Linked DNA regions of Nothobranchius furzeri. The protein of the gene in region 2 purifies or fractionates together with the protein of the main gene of each other region. This does not show direct contact. Links are inferred from orthologs where the notes say so. Each region holds a gene or a part of one and is shown on either strand. Other genes may lie near its edges.

Region 1 (4,990 bases), on a different chromosome or scaffold from region 2:
TTCATTCACACCTAAAGATGAATGAAAAAAATTGTTTAAAAAATCATGGTTGAAGATCTCATAATTCATGCATCAGAGGGTTAATATACTGACATCCTGTGGTCACATGTGGGTACTGCTGCCTATTTTCAAAACAAATGAGTGACTTTCTACCTACCATTCTTTTAATGTCATGGCCGTTGCCAGTTATGGATCTGCACCAGAAGATTCTAGATGACAAGCGAAGATGCGTCGTACACAATACGTTCATAAGTACATAAATACATTTTACTGTAATAAAATGTTGTTGACCATTGAAAAGTAGCTTCAGATTTTTTTCAGAGCCCACTATTTGCTTCTAGTTCACTGTTAGCATGGTTAGCTCAACATTAGCCTCTAGCCTTCTTTACCCAATATTACTGTAGATAAAAGATTCCGTGGCTTTTAAGGGTCACTCCGGGTCGCTCTGGCTTAAGTTTTTGAACAACTCTGGAGCTTTTTGCCTGCTAGTGTCAAGTTACAAATTCCAGAGCTGCAGTGTTGGCTCATGCAGAATCGACAAGCTTGCAGGCTCATAGATCTCAAACAGTAACTACATCCGTCTTTGACCATTTTTAAAGGAGAAAAACTGACCCCCCCCCCCCCCCCCCCCCAGCCGGCTGAGAAGGAAAACAATAAATCAATATAAATTCACTTCCAACAGGATTGAGACATTAGACTGTTTTGTGATTATTTCACAGTTAAACTCTTACATATTGAACTAGGGATGCACCGATACAACGTTTTGCTAAAAACCAATACGATATTGATACATCTACCACACAAAAAAAAGCTATGAATTGGATTACAGGTTTTTATTTTCGTCTCTGCTTTCAACAGGAAAAGACTGTGAGGTAGATAAAAAATGAAATATATTAATAAAAATGATCACAAAACTAAAATATTAGGCAAACAGAAATGAGAAGTTACAGTAAAGCAACTTTGAGGCAACTGCATTGGTATTGGTAAAAGGTAACCAATGCTAGGAACTGATATATCTAAACCAATACTGGTATCGATATTGACCCAATACCAATATCAGTTTCGGTGCATCCCTATATTGAACCTTTGAGACTCTGCATATATTATAAAGACTCTGTACAAATATTTCATCACAGATGAACCAGTTAGTGATTTGTTTTTCATGCGTTGGCAAAAAAAAAAAATGCAGGAAATCCTTAGGATCACAAATTAAAAAATCAAGAAACAAAAGGCGAGAGTGATCTCCAACACATGTTGTAATTTATATTTTTTGGTTATTCTTTTACAAATTTTCTCCCTATGTGCCTTACAGCAGAGATTTGTCTGAGATCAGATTTATTTTGTTTTTGATTTTTTGTTAAACCATTAGAATCAGCTGAAAAACACGATATGTTTGAAAGGATTACATTTTCCCAATCAGAGTATACCACAAAACACTGGATATGATTAATCTTTCCTGGCAAAAAAAAAACTATCATCAGAAATAAATAAACAGCAACACTACAAAGATAACTTTACAAACAAAGCTGAAAATCATGATTTCTTATTATAACTCAACATTAAAACTAATTTTCACAGTTAACTTGTGTAGAATGGTGCATTCATTGGCCAAATTCAACAAAAATAAATAAATAAACAGCTGTCTCCAGGCAGTGGCTCAGTGGTTAGATCTATTGCCTTGCAGTAAGAAGGTCCTAGGTACACTTCCCGGCCTGGGATCTTTCTGCATGGAGATTGCATGTTCTCCCTGTGCATGCGTGGGTTCTCTCCGGGTATTCTGGCTACCTCCCACATGACTGTTAGGTTGATTGGTCTGTCTAAAAATTGTCCTTAGGTGTGTGTGTGTGTGTGTGTGTGTGTGTGTGTGTGTGTGTGTGTGTGTGTGTGTGTGTGTGTGTTGCCCTGCGATGGACTCTGTCCAGGGTGTACCCCGCCTGGTTGCCCATTGACCACTGGAGATAGGCACCAGTCCCCCCACGACCCTGCATGGGCAAGCGGGTTCAGACAATGGATGGATGGAAAACAGCTGGCTCCTTTTATTTTCATACTCGGGCCTAATTCCAGTTTGTAGAGCTTTTATTTTGAAAGCATTGACGGTGCGGAAGTAGCCCGTCAGCTTCCGGAAATCAGTCGGTGGAGAAAAGATTTCCTTTATGCTGGAAAAACTGATCTACAGAGTCCAGCACACACGAGGACTGCTTAAGAACTGTAGCTAATGGACTGGTGGATTGCAACACCGAACCTGCGTTGATAGGACGCTTGGCTACCGAGGCCGCGGGCCGGGCCGGAACCAGAGCCAGGCCCGGACCCGGACACAAGAAAGCGCTGCGACACCAGCAGGCTGGTGTGTGAGCGGGGAAGGTGGTATGGTGTCTGTAGAGGAGGTTGAATGTGGATCACGGTGACTCGCTGTCTGCCTACAGACAGCGAGTTCTCCGTTGAGTCCAAGCCGACTTGCGGTGCTTCAGATCGAATGTGAAGGCTCGAAGCCTCCGGAATGGAATGGCTGGAAATTAGCCAGACTGGAGGTAGCTTCACCGCGATTTAACAAGAGTTAGAAAACATAGATGTGTGTCAGAAATGGGCGTTATGTGAATGAGCAGAGCTTGTTTCATGCCGTCTAACTGTTTCCAGCTGTTCTGTTAGATATTTTTAAGGCCTGTGCGGTGTTAATGGAGGGAGTATAGCTGCCGAGTTAGCCAGCCTCCACCTCCCCAATGAAAGAATACAAAGTTGTCGTGCTGGGGAGCGGTGGCGTCGGGAAGTCCGCGCTCACCGTCCAGTTTGTCACCGGCACTTTTATCGAGAAGTACGACCCGACCATCGAGGACTTTTACCGAAAGGAGATCGAGGTAGACTCATCGCCCTCCGTGCTGGAGATACTGGACACGGCGGGGACGGAGCAGTTCGCCTCCATGAGGGACCTGTACATCAAGAACGGGCAGGGCTTCATCCTGGTCTACAGCCTGGTCAACCAGCAGTCCTTCCAGGTAGCCCTGCTGGAAACCTCCACAGTGCAGAGAAACTTTATAGATCAACAGGAGTTATTTGGTCATAAGGGTCCAATTAAACCCGTTTCTTTAGGTGAGAGTTGTTGTAGTGACCTTATAATAACTCAAAAGAAGCTTCACACTCTTCATCAGCTTATGACAACAAATAAAATGGTTAAAAACGATGTTTTGAGACTAAAATGTCAAAAAACCCGTCAAAGCAACGAACACTAGTTTTACTTGATTTGTTCTTATTTTTCCCCACTTTGCATGTCCTGGTAACCATTTAACCTACAGCTTCGCTGTAAAATTAGTGGAAGATTGCAAGAAAACACATTCGTCTTTATATTAGTAAAGCCTGAACTACTAATTTGTTCCTTAGAGCTTTTATGCATTCCCACATGTCTGTGCTTGTGTGTTTTTCAGGATATCAGGCCGATGCGAGACCAGATCGTACGAGTGAAGCGTTTTGAGAAGGTGCCGTTGATCCTGGTCGGCAACAAAGTGGATCTGGAATCTGAGCGAGAGGTCGCCGGATCGGACGGACGGGCTCTGGCTCAAGAGTGGGGCTGCCCCTTCATTGAAACTTCTGCCAAGAGCAAGACCATGGTGGATGAGCTGTTTGCAGAAATCGTGCGACAGATGAACTACTCCACGCTGCCGGAGAAGCAGGAGCAGTGCTGTACGGCCTGCGTGGTGCAGTGAGGTCGACGTAGGTATGCACAGTTGAATCCTGACTAATTTTACAAAATGTGATGAAATGTCCTTGCTGCTTGTGTAAAAAAATGCTTCACAGGCTGAGGGGGGGAAGTGACACATGGACTGGTACTGTGGCGTTTTCATTTGCAGCGTGAAGAAATGGAGGGATTTGGCTGGAAGTGAGAATGACGAGTGGGTGGCGCTGCAAACCGTTTGTAAGCTTGTTATCATAAGATCACAGAACGTAGAGGACCCAGCTATCTGAGCAGCTCAGAACTGGAAGGAAAGAGACCCAGAAGAGTTGTCAGCTGATCCGCGGAAAGAGGAAAAAGTCACATCCTGAGAGAGAATTTAGCCTCCAAAACAGGAAGTTCAGTCTAGTAGAGATGCTGCCTTTGTTACCAGCTTCCACTGACCTTTTCAACTCATTTCATTAACTAACATTTTTTTTTTCTTCTTTTAAAATCTAAAAAGTTTGGATCACCGCAAGCATTTAGAAGAACCTGAGGACTACCTGACTCGTGTCTGACAACAACCTACCGGATCAGTGGTTTCTGACTGACAGAAGAAGACATCACTCCTATTTTTGATATTGTAACTGTTGGACGATGCTCTTGCTGCAACCTCAACAGCCTTTTTGATGAAGCGGGAAGCAGTCAGGCACACGCCTTCTTTGGAAGAACAGTCCTTTGTGAATTTCTGTCTTATTGGTTTTATTCTTTTATCCATTTTTAGATGGTTTTCTTGAAGCAGGACTGATGTGTGAGGTTGCAGCACCTTTCTAAAGCTGCTTTAATCATTACTATATTCTTTAATATTACTTGTATAATGTCTGAAATTTGGAATTTGATAAAGTATTTCATATTAATGAAGCGTTTTGACTTTTAACCATGCATACACAAACCAGTGTGCTGCCCAGGTGTACTGCTCACCTTATTCTGAAACTCCAAGTATCCTCTAACTGACACAGACCACAGCAGTATATGTTGATAGATTATTTTTTTTCTGAGATTGTGTAACTGTGGGTTAAGTACTAAAATAAAACTAGTGTAAAAGGACAGTTAAACATCTATATATTAAAAGTGACCTGAGGCAGCTGAACTTACCTGAAAAGCTCAAAGGTAAAAGTGCACCATTTAAACTTGAAGTGATGACATCGAGCCATTTCTCACTTAATAGCCTGAGTTTTGTCATAATCCCTAACAGGTAAGGCTCACGTGGACGAAGGGTCTTCCGTCTTTGGTTTTATCGAGGAGACTGTAGATCCTTGGAACGACCAAAGTAAGCTAACACTCCGTGTT
Region 2 (4,863 bases):
GCAGGATACAAATAAATGTGTTTAGAAGGAAATCTGTTTCTGAACTAAAACTGTTGCAGTTATTCTCGTTCACGAGTGTTTTGTTGATAAAGATGTTTTTTTTAATGAAAATCCGGTTGAAGGTCAAAGTTCAGACTTGGCTCACACCTTTGTGATTTTTGTTAACTTGTCTTCATGCCTGTAGTCATGCCTTAAACACACAACTGACTCTGGTCAAATGTGTAAAGTTGTATAAATTCATTTAACACTAGAATGTGTGGAAGTAATTCTGCATGCTGTCAGCCAGTTCCACTCAGCAGACATTATCAACATTATGGTAAACTTCTGCACACTTGCTCACTAATGTTGGATGTAATGCTGTATGATTTTTCTGAGCCGTCCACTTAATAAATTCATTCTGGATTATATGGTTTGGTTTTATGGATGTCGGTCATTCTTTTGGATGAGTGAACAAAGGAAATCCTAAATGTATTAATGAAAAAAAAAAACTGATCACCATTATATGTACTGATTGTAAACAAACATTTAACGCTTTAAATGTTAGTCATGTTACATTTTTACGTATTTGTAGCCGTTTTTAAATCTAGTTTCTGTTAAAACTTTACTGATGTATTTCCTGAAGAATAGGTGTTTTAAATATGATAGCTAATGGTATAATTTAAAGGAAGCTTTTTGATGAATAAGTAAAAGTTTATTTATATAGCGCCTTTCACAGATATAAATCACAACATGATAAAGATCAGAGCAAATACCTCTAACCAATAAAAACATCTGAAAAACAATAGCAGTGATAAACGTAGAAAATAAAATCATGAGTATAAACAAAGGGAAGGTGTGAACTCGAACAAAACCATCTTTTTGAAACATTTAGGGAGGTAACGCCTGGATGAAAAGGTGAGTTTTTAGATGATTTTTAAAGACCTCTACAGTGTTAGAGAGACGGAGATTTGAAGGTAGACTGTTCCAAAGTCTGGGGCCAATAGTCTGAAAGGCCCTGTCCCCTTTGGTTTACAGTCTGGTTCGAGGAACAGCCAGGAGGTTTTCAGATGTGGATCTAAGTTCCGAGAGGTGATGTGTGGGGATAAAAGCTCAGATAGGTAGCTTGGAGCCTGGTTGTTAAGAGCTCTATAGGTCAGGAGGACTAAAACTTTAAACTGTATTCTATATTCTACCGGGAGCCAGTGGAGGGACTGTAAAACTGGAGTGATGTGAGCTCGTCTGCTGGATTTGGTTAGGAGTCCAGCTGCTGCATTTTGGATGGCTTGAAGGCGTGAGAGGGAGGTTTTGCTGAGACCAGTAAAAAGAGCGTTACAGTAGTCTAAGCGTGATGACACAAAGGCATGGATGATTTTTTCCAGATCTGCAGTAGAAACCAGTTTACGGACTTTTGAAATGTTTCTCAGTTGAAAGAAACAAGAGCGGGAGATGGTTTTGACGTGAGTCTAAACTTAAAGCTGGATCAAAAATAACTCCTAGGTTTCTAATGTTGGCCTTGGCTGATGGGCAAAGTAAAAGTAAAGTAAAAGTAACTTTTCCAGTTTTTTCCCTAGAATAGTTACATATTTTTACTATACTATCACTAAAAGTACAAATACAAAACACTTAGTATTTTTGATTTCAAAACCGCACAATAAATAACTCAAATTGATATTTTGTTCTTGTAATACTTCAATCAAACCAGAAGGTGGCGGTAAAGTCTGAAACTATACGACATTTAAAACCGTAGAAGAAGAAGGCCGGAAGTAGCTTGACCATGCAAAATATGTCAGAATGGTAATCCGTCACTTGTTCTTCTGTGCTTTAGAGCATCGTTTTATAATTAAAGTGTGTGTAAATGTTATCTTGTCTTCTTTATTTAAATGCTGTGCCGAAGTGGATGCTACCCTTGTTAGCATTTAGCAGCTAGTCATAACAATGTGTCCTCCTGTATTCGTTTAACTACAGCGTAGTTGTGTCTTGTGACCGTTTCTGTTGTGTTTTTGTCAGAGTGCTCAACTAAAAGATGTCATCATTAAACCTGACGCTCCCAGCTGGCTGCTGCTGGACAAACATGCAGATTACATCGCTGCCTACGGGTCCAAGAAGGACGACTATGTGAGTGACGTTTTATTTACACTTAGTTTGTAGGATTTGTGTCGTCTCGTTTTTATCTGCCTCTGTCGATAAAACCTCGTTTCAGAAGTTTTAAACGTTTTATTTATTTATTTTGGGTTAAGATAAAAGATGCATTCAGGTGTTTTAAAAGGTAAGTTTTTTGTCCCAATTTTCCACAAAGTATATTAAAAAAGACAGAAAATGCTTTAAAGAAACCAAAGATGTACATTTTAAAAAATAATTATAAGACTAAAGAGACGGCCCTCACGTCTCATGAGCACCCACATCAGTGGGGATCTCCCCTGGACCCAAAACAGATTGCCAAGAAGGCAAAATTTTGAACTGCCCTCCACAACTCTCAGCAACTACAGCAGCCTGATCATCTGATTCACTGGTTAAGATTGTGTGCACAAATAAGAAATTTTACTTTGGTTTAACGGGTTTTTGCAACAGGAATTAAATAATGTTTTAAACCCAAAATCAAACTGTACCTGGTCTTTGGTGTTAATGAAATCTGACACCTCTGTGCTGCAGGAGTACACACTGTCAGAGTACCTGAGGATGAGCGGTATCTACTGGGGGCTGACGGTGATGGATCTGATGGGTCAGCTGCCCAGGATGAGCCGTCAGGAGATCATAGACTTCATCAAAGCCTGCCAACACGAGTGTGGAGGCGTCAGCGCCAGTATTGGACATGACCCACACCTGCTGTACACCCTCAGCGCCATCCAGGTGACACAAAGCCTCATTATAATAAATCACAAATGCTAAGGATGTGAGGAAAACTCAGATGAGCTAAACGATCACATGTGTTTTTCTTTAAGGTTTTTAGTTGACATCTTTTTATTTTTACACGTCTTTCTCAGATCTTGTGCTTGTATGACAGCCTGGATGCGATCGATGTTGACAAAGTGGTGGAATATGTGAAAGGGCTTCAGCAGGAGGATGGCTCTTTTGCAGGGGACAAATGGGGTGAGCGAGCTTTACTCTCTCTTTCATTTAGAGTAAAAATAAAAAGTCATTTTCACAAAGCAAAGCAGCTCTTTAGAGAAACCTGCACAACAAACTCTTAGATGTCTGAGAATAAGGAGCTGCATCTGGAATTGTGCACAAGCTTTAACTATAAGATTATTTAAAGATCTTTATCGTAACTGAAGTTTTCGTTCTTTTCAGGAGAAATAGACACACGCTTTTCTTTCTGTGCGGTTGCTACGCTAGCGTTACTGGTACGTACGGGTTTGTCTGAAAATAACCGTAATGCAGGCTGAACCAACAGTTCTGTGATAAAACTCACTCAGTTGCATCTTTTTTCCTGATGTCTGTGAACTTTTTAAAGGAGGTCGTGAGTTTGTTATTTAGTCAGATTAACCATACCTCTGAAGATTACTTTCTAGTCTTCATCTGTCCTTTCCCAGGGGAAAATGGACTCGATAAACGTAGACAAGGCGGTTGAGTTCGTCCTGTCCTGTATGAATTTTGATGGAGGTTTTGGCTGCAGACCTGGTTCAGAGTCTCACGCTGGTCAGGTGAGTTTTTGTCCCCAAACAACAATGTAAAAAAACCTAAAGGTTCAATTTATAATAGAATGAAAAATCTTCTGACATTAAACCCCCTGTTGCTTTTTTACGCTTTCATAAGATTTACTGCTGCACTGGTTTCCTGTCGCTCACTGGCCAGCTGCACCAGCTGAACGCCGACCTGTTGGGCTGGTGGCTCTGTGAGAGGCAGCTGCCATCTGGAGGCCTCAACGGGAGACCAGAGAAGGTCTGCCACCTCCTGATGATGTTTGGTTTTAGATTTGTTTGGAAAAATGACCAAAGAAACCCTTTTTTTAAGACTTGTCTTTAATCAAACCTCCATCTGACGCAGCTCCCAGATGTTTGCTACTCGTGGTGGGTTCTGGCATCGCTGAAGATCATCGGCCGGATCCACTGGATCGACAAAGCCAAGCTGCGGCGGTTTATTCTGGCCTGTCAGGACGAGGAGACGGGAGGTTTTGCAGACCGACCAGGAGACGTGGTGAGACGTGTTCTGAAAAGCAGAGCTCAGATTTTCCTCCAGTGTTCTGAATGTTCTGGTCTCTCCTCTGCAGGTGGATCCTTTCCACACTCTGTTCGGGATCGCCGGTCTCTCTCTCCTCGGCGACGAGCAGATCAAGGCAGTAAATCCGGTTCTGTGCATGCCGGAGGACGTCCTGCAGAGGGTCCACCTGCAGCCCGACCTCCTCAGCTAGCCCATCATCATCCTCACAAACACCGCTACCCTCACATAAACTCCCCTCAGCTGGAAGCAGGAAGTGGATCCGGACTCATCTCTGTTTCACTCTTCGGCCTTAATCCTTCCTCTGCTCACGTTTCTATCCAGCGTATCGTGTTTCAGCTGTTGAAGTTTAAACATAATTTAAAAACACATTCCTTACACTTAAATGCATCACTTCCATCAGCTGCAGCTAAGAATTAATATTATTGTTTATGTGGAACTTTGGATTCAGCCGGGAGGAAAAAGTGTTTTTGGCACCTTAAACTCTTAGCAGTTACGTAGCTGCTTTTTAATCATAAAAGGCGTTTTTATGAGCAGCAAGAGCGATGTGGAGGACACTAACGGTGTTTGCAGCAGACAGGCTTTCTGGGAAACCTAACTAAACAATATTCTACGTTTACAGCTTTATTCACTATTTATTAAACCTATTCACAGCTCTCTAAGGATTCTGGGAAATTTCTGTTAAACATTTGAGTCGTAAATTCTTCACTTTTATTGTCTTATTGTCAA

The links.
Region 1: the proteins of rabggtb (region 2) and rap2c purify together in Homo sapiens (co-immunoprecipitation; 3 studies listed by BioGRID and IntAct, counting the BioPlex papers as one, with this or other methods). This does not show direct contact. The link is inferred for Nothobranchius furzeri from reciprocal best matches to the Homo sapiens genes RABGGTB and RAP2C.

What each region holds. Positions count from the first base shown.
Region 1 is NC_091741.1:84,823,684-84,828,673, reverse strand, and holds the start of rap2c (ras-related protein Rap-2c), read left to right. Parts: upstream 1-1,893; 5' UTR 1,894-2,717; coding exon 2,718-2,990; intron 2,991-3,416; coding exon 3,417-3,695; 3' UTR 3,696-3,702; exon of another isoform or gene 3,703-3,715; intron 3,716-3,786; exon of another isoform or gene 3,787-4,153; intron 4,154-4,163; 3' UTR 4,164-4,990. UniProt on the Homo sapiens protein: Small GTP-binding protein which cycles between a GDP-bound inactive and a GTP-bound active form. May play a role in cytoskeletal rearrangements and regulate cell spreading through activation of the effector TNIK.
Region 2 is NC_091751.1:41,398,944-41,403,806, forward strand, and holds the start of rabggtb (geranylgeranyl transferase type-2 subunit beta), read left to right. Parts: upstream 1-1,649; 5' UTR 1,650-1,770; coding exon 1,771-1,773; intron 1,774-1,986; coding exon 1,987-2,094; intron 2,095-2,628; coding exon 2,629-2,826; intron 2,827-2,960; coding exon 2,961-3,066; intron 3,067-3,267; coding exon 3,268-3,320; intron 3,321-3,509; coding exon 3,510-3,620; intron 3,621-3,732; coding exon 3,733-3,858; intron 3,859-3,963; coding exon 3,964-4,113; intron 4,114-4,186; coding exon 4,187-4,327; 3' UTR 4,328-4,863. UniProt on the Homo sapiens protein: Catalyzes the transfer of a geranylgeranyl moiety from geranylgeranyl diphosphate to both cysteines of Rab proteins with the C-terminal sequence -XXCC, -XCXC and -CCXX, such as RAB1A, RAB3A, RAB5A and RAB7A.